3 linked regions of the Kluyveromyces lactis genome follow. The main gene of each other region encodes a partner of the protein of the gene in region 2 in a complex. Links are inferred from orthologs where the notes say so. Each region holds a gene or a part of one and is shown on either strand. Other genes may lie near its edges.

Region 1 (2,015 bases), on a different chromosome or scaffold from region 2:
AAATTTAAACACTCATACAATGGAACTATTCCCCCAGTCCAATCGATTGATCTTCTATCTAATATTATAACGATGAGAATACCAATTAGAATCAGTGCTAATCTAAATATACTCACGAAGCACTAGTACGTTTAACGTAATTGACATACTTGTATATATTTATATTTATTTGTCCATATGAGAGGATTTGATAATGGCAATGGCAATGGCAATTGCCATTGTCATATCATGATGGCACGGACGGAAAAAAAATTCAGGAAACTTGAGAATTAAAGGGAATATCGAAGACAGATAAACATCTGGTGATGTCTGTGGAAGCCTATCAAGGACCGCAATCGTTCTATGCTTCATTGCTGCATTGCTGCATACGGTGCTGATACCGGAATGGAGCAAGTATTATTATAGGTAACTACAGAGAGCGTTAAAATGAGAGCGTTTTATCTATATATTATGTATGTACACACAGTGTACACACAATGTACGCACAGTGTTCGTTGAAGCTACCATAATTGGAACATTCTATTCATTAATAGATACATCTTGACCAGCATATCCTGTTGTCTTTCCTGAGCTGAAGCAGTGTTTGAAAGAAATGGGTTTGGAGGAGGGTCCATGATAGGAGGTTTTGCTGCTAGATTTCCTTGATTTATCTGAGATATTGTATGTAAGTTACAGTGTATTCTTTTCGTATATTGGATTAGTATTTGTTCCATTTGTTCTTTGGACAGCGACGCGAGTGTCGGTACCTGTCTGCTTTCGTACATGGTTCTTGTTTCTTGGGATTTTTTGATCAACATCGAGTTGATATGAAGAAGCACTTGTATTTTCCATTGTAGCTTCTGCTTTGGTGAGACTCCTGAGTCTGATTTCAGGTCTATTGCTGGGTTTAGATCTGTCATGCTGATCTAGGGTGGGTGCAGGGTACTTTTCCGTAGTCGTCAGTCAGTCGATCTTTTTATCTTTGAACTTCCTTCACTGTCAAAGTAGTAAGACGAATTAAAACGTGATTTGAATTATTTTCAAGCGGAACGAAAAAACCACTAAGTATCCAGTTCATAATAGCGACTAAAGGCACTCCAAGATCACAAAAATCCCTGGGCTGCCATATCTATGTACACTAGACACTCGTGCTCTATACGGTCACCTATTCATAGGACATAAGTTTCTAAGTTTAAAACACATTCAGTCACGTGTGTAACACGTGACTGATAAAAAAGAAACAGCAAGAGTTTCTCAGCCACTTTGATGACGAATGCTCTTCCTCCCTTACTGCCACCCCTTCAACGCCTCAAAATGCCACCATTACATAACTATAACTATCGATTCACATTATTCCCCCACATTATGAAATCCCAAACAATGTTTTCAGTTACAATAGAAAAAGCTCAGCCAACAAATTCTTAGCCTTAGGCCACAACGAAGGACGCATAAACTGAATTCCTACCTAATTCCATAGCCAGACGAAAAACGTACCATCTCTCAGTTTCTCTCAGTCAAGTTACCGCATATTTTCGTGGGTTTAAGTCACAAGACGGACCAGTTCCCAGCGTAGGAACCTCACCCATTTCTTTTCGGCCCTGCTGGCAGTACGTCCGATCAGAAAATCCACCATAAAACGGTTACCTTTCAACTGGAAACTCTTTATTACCGAAACTGTTCCTTGCCATATTAGTTCTTTTCTTTTCGAATTGCTTTACTAAATCCGCAGCCATCTTAAAATACGTAACTCTCTGCAAAATAAAGTATTAAATATATATACAAATATGTCCATCCATTTTGTTGATAGACGTTAATGCCAACTAGTAAATCTTGTTAATCTTGTGATGTTTGATACTTCATCTAGTCGATAACTTAAGTAGTGGCAAGGTATTAAGAGGAATCCAGGCTTAAGCCACCCGCTGTTTATTCTCTTTGCCTTGTGGTTTTTTTCAGGTTTTTTTCTGGTATTTCTCTTTTCGAATCATTTTGCATATCAAAAGTTTCTCTAAGGTTTCTCAAGGTTCTATCTCATCGTC
Region 2 (3,597 bases):
AGAAATCATATATAGATACTATTTAAGGTAGCTTAGTGCAACGTTGATTGCAGATATGCAGCTTGCACAGTAATATTACCAAGAGTCAAGGGGGAACTATCTATTGTAATTGCATCGGACTAATCTTACATCAAACAACCATGAAGACCAATCCTGATATTGTATATACGAAGGCTCAAAAATTGATTGAACTCAATTTAGATAATAAATATGTTGCTATCGTAGGAGGAACGGGCGGTATTGGCCGTGAGTTGGCAAGAGTGTTGGCACAAAAGGGTGCTAAAGTCATCGTTGTTGGTAGAACGTTCAGAGACGAAAATGTTGAAGGTATTGAATTTATCCAGGCTGACCTAGGTTTGGTGTCAGAGGCATCCAGAGTTGCGGAATTGTTACCTGCTGAAAAGTTGGATCTTCTTATCTTCACTACGGGAGTTTTGGCTCCTCCAGCGAGACGTGAGACTAGCGAAGGTCTAGAAGAAGATTTGGCCGTCAGTTATATCAGCCGACTAGTGATGATGAATCATTTGGTACCCAGATTGAAGGAACATGGTGAGAAAAAACCTCGCGTATTTGTAATGGGTTTCCCCGGTGATAACTATATGGGAGATTATAGAGATTTGAATTCAGAAGAATCTTACGGAGCTATTTCCACACATATGAAAACAGTAGCCGGTAATGAAGCTCTAGTTTTGGACTTTAAGAATAGGTTTGCTACTGTCAATTTTTATGGGTTGAATCCGGGGCTCATCAGGACAAATATTAGAGATAATTACCTTGGTAAAGACACTTGGAAGTCAAGAGTGGTAGAATGGTTCATAGGTATGACAAATCAGACTGCAGAGCAATACGCTGAAAAGTTAGGCCCCTTGCTAGTTGCCCCAGAATTGGAAACTCATTCAGGCGCCATGTTTGACAAGAATGCTAACCCGATCCTTCCATCAAAAGATTTTACTGATGATTACGCCAGGAATTATATCAAGGCCTCAGAAGAACTTCTTGCAAATCTTAAGTTGGCTCAATGAATGACACTACCAACATCTGAAGCCACCGGCACTATTATCTAAGAATCCCGTTTTATTCCTATATTTTAGATACGTTAGTTTGTATGTAACCTAACTGTCGGGTATTTGCTGTGTCAGTTGCTGGTCATCACGTGATCAGTATCTTTATGTATTTTCCATTGTTTTGAAATTGGGTCTTTTCAACATGTAATCTAACTATCGAATGCCTGTCATTAACATAAACGTAAACATATGCATATCTTTCAAAGTACATCGTGAAAGAATTCAATAGACGGTATAAGCTGCGACACTTTCATCCATCCTAATTATATTTGGAACACCACGAGACCTTTCTGGCTGTTGAACAGGATACGTTTATTTGTTTATCTTCACATGCTGGAAAAATGGACTCCAGTACTAACTCATCTGTCACTGCTCAGGTGAATCCGGTGCCAGAATATGTCATAAAGAACCATGAGCTTTTTATTTTGAAAACCACATTATCAATACTCAATAACCCTGAATTACTCTCCGGCAGACTTGACAAGCCACCAACAAAGCAACTTGTACTACCTTCGTTCACCATTAAGGAAAGGTTATCAGACAACAATGACTCTTATGTTTTGGGAAAGGGTGATCAAAATGGGGAAACGAAGGTTGATAAACAAGGACGGTTACATGGAGAAAGGCATTACTTGTTTCCTACTTTCACTTATCCATGTGCGGAAAACAATAATTCGGAAAATTTGTACGTCTTAGTACGGGATTTGATTAGAGTCTTGAATCTAGATGTGGAACAACAAGAGTTTTTGGCTCAGCATCCAGACCTTTACCCAATTAATGCAAAACATGATATTATCGAATTTTTGACCCAGTATAAACTTTTACCTGAAGGTGCTACTGCTGCAACATATATCACAGCTAGATCTGCTTTTCTTGTCTTTGGAGCTGCTATACTAGCATCCGGATCAAGAGTGATAGATGATTACTGGGAACAACTATCCAAAGAACAGGGCTTCCAAGCGCAGCACAGAGTATACGCACTCTCTCAAAAACTTCTCGACATGGTATGTTCGATCGATCCAAGGACTAGAACAGCACATTCTTTAGGTCCACCTGAGCTTCCTGAATCGAAGCAAGCACAAGCGGGCGTTATGTCCACATCACAACCGCAATTCGAAGACCCGTTTTCAACCATTACGGAACTACCGCCTTTAGAAGCACGTAAAGAGTTCTTAAGTAATATTGCTCATGGTGAGCAAACTGCAATCATATCGGGTCAAACTATACATGGAGCAATCGAGTTGAGTACTATTTACAAAATTCCAAAATACCACTATAAGAATTCCTTCGCCGCTGCTCAACAACACAATGTTCTAGATTCCCCGATTGGAACGCACACCCACCCGGTAGAATCTCATAACTTTGGTAGAGGACGTAAAGCTAACTATGTTCCCCCGGAGGAGACAGATGTGTTGGCTCAAATTCCTGGATGGAAATTTACGCAGCTACCAGTTACAACAAATGATGAGTTACCTACAACTTTCAGTGCTGGAGGGTTACCGATATATAATAAGGCGAGACTTCCTGCAAGGTTAAAACTATTGACGCCAAACCAAATAAAAGATTTAGAACGATCCCATGATGTTGTTCATTTGAATACAGCTCTTGGCCATGTCCGAAAGTTAAGAAACACCCGTTGGACTAAATTTTGGCAGTATAAGGCCGGTGCACCTGTTGGCCTTACGGAGGATCAACTTTCGTATTACAAAGAGCAATATCTACAGCAAGTTTTGAACCATGTTGATGTGAGCATTGTGCCAAACGAAACGAAGAATGTAGATGAAAAGCGTACCGTTAAGCGAGTACCGAATCCAAATTTTTTGGGATACTCCAATGTGTCAGGGTTTAGGCCACCTTATGTTGAAAAACCTTAGAATAATAATGCAACTTCATCTATATCGAACTAAATACTGCTAGTAGAAAGCTATGCAATAAAGCTGCAGATATATATAGAGGATAATTCATTATAACAATTTAACTTTAACAATGTCTTGACGAATTTTGAAAGTGTAGTATGCCATAACTAAAACGATTAGTATTAGAGGCAAAATCCACATTAAGAGTCTCTTGACGATTTCGTCAACTGAAACGCCATTTCCAGCATTTTCCATGCTTTGTTTGGTGGCCTCTCTAATCTTTGCTTGATCCTGAAGTAATTGCTCCAACTTATCATTCATAACAAAGAGGTCCTTGAAGGATTCTGTATTTACTTCACCTTCTTTACCCATTGAAGCCACAATAACTTCTAAAGTAGTTGATAGATATTCTAGCTTTCTCAAGTGCGCTGCTTGATTTTCCAAGATGCCAATTAATTTACCGTTTATCACGCTGATGTCATTGGCTAATATCTTGCCCTCAATCTTATCCAATTTCTTGTAAAGTTCGTAGTTGTCCACCTTATTTGCTAAACCCTTCATTTTCATGAAATCTGTTTCTACAACGTCTTCTTTACCAGTATCCTTGTTGATAATCTTTGTTACCAATCTAGGCTGTTCCATAGGGTTAACATTTGGAATTGTAACTTCTTTAGTAA
Region 3 (2,476 bases), on a different chromosome or scaffold from region 2:
GGTCAAGACAAGATAGCATTGAGCGAAGAAGAAACTTTATTGGTCATTAGAAGATTACATAAGGTACTCAGACCTTTCTTGCTTCGTCGTTTAAAGAAAGATGTTGAAAAAGATCTTCCTGATAAAGTAGAAAAGGTTTTGAAATGTAAGATGAGTGCATTACAACACAAATTATACCAACAGATGTTGAAGCATCGTAGGCTATTCATTTTTGATGATTCAAGTAACCAGAAGTTCTCTAGTTCTCGTGGGTTTAACAATCAAATCATGCAACTCAGGAAGATTTGTAATCATCCGTTCGTATTCGAAGAAGTGGAAGATCAAATCAATCCAGCAAGGGAAACGAACGATACCATTTGGAGAAGTGCCGGTAAATTCGAACTGCTAGAACGTATTTTACCAAAGTTCAAGGCTACCGGTCATAGAGTTCTAATTTTCTTCCAAATGACGCAAGTTATGGATATCATGGAAGATTTCTTGAGATATCTTGACATGAAATACTTAAGATTAGACGGTCATACTAAATCTGATGATCGTACTGCATTATTAAACACTTTCAATGCCCCAAACTCTGATTATTTCTGTTTCCTTTTATCTACAAGAGCTGGTGGTTTAGGTTTAAATTTGCAAACTGCAGATACCGTTATCATTTTTGATACTGATTGGAATCCTCACCAGGATTTACAGGCCCAAGACAGAGCTCATAGAATCGGTCAAAAGAATGAAGTGCGTATTCTTAGATTAATTACAGACAATTCAGTGGAAGAAGCAATTCTTGATAAGGCGCATGCCAAATTGGACATTGACGGAAAAGTTATTCAAGCAGGTAAGTTTGATAACAAATCAACAGCTGAAGAACAAGAGGCATTATTGAGATCGTTACTAGAAGCTGAGGAAGAGGAAAAGAAAAGACGTGAGTTAGGCATTGAAGAAGAAGAGCAGTTGGATGATAACGAACTCAATGAAATCTTGGCGAGAAACGAAAATGAAATAAAAGTATTCCAGGAGTTGGATGCTCAAAGGATCAGAACACAGATGGAAAACGGTATAACAAACAGACTTATGGAGAACTCAGAGCTTCCTGAATGTTACAATGTTGACATTGAAGCAAAGCTTGCAGAAGAGGAAAAGCAGAACGTGTTTGTTGGAGGAAGAGGTAATAGAGAGAGAAGAACTGCGCACTACTCTGATGAATTATCTGAAGAACAATGGTTAAGGCAATTTGAAGTCAGTGAAAATGAAGATGAAGAAGGTGACGCTGGCCCAAAGAGAAGGAGAAGGAGAGCCGCTGAAAATAATGCTAAAAGGGCAAAACTTGAGACAAACAAAGAACTTGACGGTCCAGCTACAGGAACGGAAAATACTCCTGTTTTAGATCCGCAAGAATCAAATGGAGACTCTGCTCCATCTGGTGTTATTGCCGGTAAAACTTCAATTAAGACTGCAAAGAAGACCAGCAAGGGTAGGAAGAAAACTTCAACTGCCGTTCGTAAGAATGGCAGAAACTATCTGCGTTCAGCAGATAATGCTACAAAAACTTTGAAAGAAAGACAAGAAATTAGTCAAAAAGCTCGTGAATTGTACGACTATGCTGTATACTATAGAAATGCCGATGATAGAAGACTTTCAGATATTTTCCTAGTGAAACCATCCAAACGACTCTATCCAGACTATTATTTGTTGATCAAATATCCTGCCGCATTTGAAAATGTCATGAAACACATTGATCTGAATGTTTATGATTCTTTGAAACAGGTTGTCGAAGATTTCCATTTGATTTTTGCCAACGCTAGAATATACAACACAGAAGATTCAATCATATTTAGGGACTCATTGGAGTTGGAAGATGCAGTGATCGCGAAGTGGAAAGAAATGACAAACGAACAAGAAGAGGTGGACTTTAGTGAATTTGATGAAGAGTTTGCAACTCCACCCTTGATACCACCATCTACACCTGTATAGTGTTTTTTTTTGGAAGAAGATCACGGAGACTACACTACATAAACTATAAAACATATAGCTAACTAAACACTAATTAAAAATGTAATCATACCTAACATAATAATAGATATTTGAAATTTCAATCCTTTTCCATGTAGGGCTGATAATCTTCGTAATGTTCAAACTAAAACGAATAGAAATCATATTAGACAGTTGGTGGAACAGGCCATGCCAATATAATAGGTGGTTAGCATTGGCTTTGCGTAACCGACACATGACAAAGCATATAAAGGAATACTGAGCCTAATCTACTGTTTGCTTGTAATCAGATCAAGAGGTCCCTGGTGTATTATTACTGCCGAAGATATACAGCCAACGGAGACCATTACACGTGACTTGTGGTCTCTGATGCCATAATAAAATAGGAAGGGCATAAATTTCTCCTTTTTCTTTTTATGACAACAATAAGCTTCTATGGCCAAGTTGGTAAGGCGCCACACTAGTAATGTGGAGATCATCAGTTCGACTCTGGTTG

The links.
Region 1: SWP82 (region 2) and SNF11 share a complex: the UniProt entries of both Saccharomyces cerevisiae proteins name them as parts of the SWI/SNF global transcription activator complex. The link is inferred for Kluyveromyces lactis from reciprocal best matches to the Saccharomyces cerevisiae genes SWP82 and SNF11.
Region 3: SWP82 (region 2) and SNF2 share a complex: the UniProt entries of both Saccharomyces cerevisiae proteins name them as parts of the SWI/SNF global transcription activator complex. The link is inferred for Kluyveromyces lactis from reciprocal best matches to the Saccharomyces cerevisiae genes SWP82 and SNF2.

The regions. Positions count from the first base shown.
Region 1 is NC_006041.1:899,251-901,265, forward strand, and holds SNF11 (Snf11p), read right to left. Parts: upstream 900-2,015; coding exon 501-899; downstream 1-500. UniProt on the Saccharomyces cerevisiae protein: Involved in transcriptional activation. Component of the SWI/SNF complex, an ATP-dependent chromatin remodeling complex, which is required for the positive and negative regulation of gene expression of a large number of genes.
Region 2 is NC_006040.1:503,251-506,847, reverse strand, and holds SWP82 (Swp82p), read left to right. Parts: upstream 1-1,405; coding exon 1,406-2,938; downstream 2,939-3,597. Other genes in the region: KLLA0_D05907g (putative short-chain dehydrogenase/reductase), read left to right, coding at 141-1,022; KLLA0_D05863g (uncharacterized protein), read right to left, coding at 3,029-3,597. UniProt on the Saccharomyces cerevisiae protein: Involved in transcriptional activation. Component of the SWI/SNF complex, an ATP-dependent chromatin remodeling complex, which is required for the positive and negative regulation of gene expression of a large number of genes.
Region 3 is NC_006038.1:744,848-747,323, forward strand, and holds the end of SNF2 (SWI/SNF catalytic subunit SNF2), read left to right. Parts: coding exon 1-1,962; downstream 1,963-2,476. UniProt on the Saccharomyces cerevisiae protein: Involved in transcriptional activation. Catalytic component of the SWI/SNF complex, an ATP-dependent chromatin-remodeling complex, which is required for the positive and negative regulation of gene expression of a large number of genes.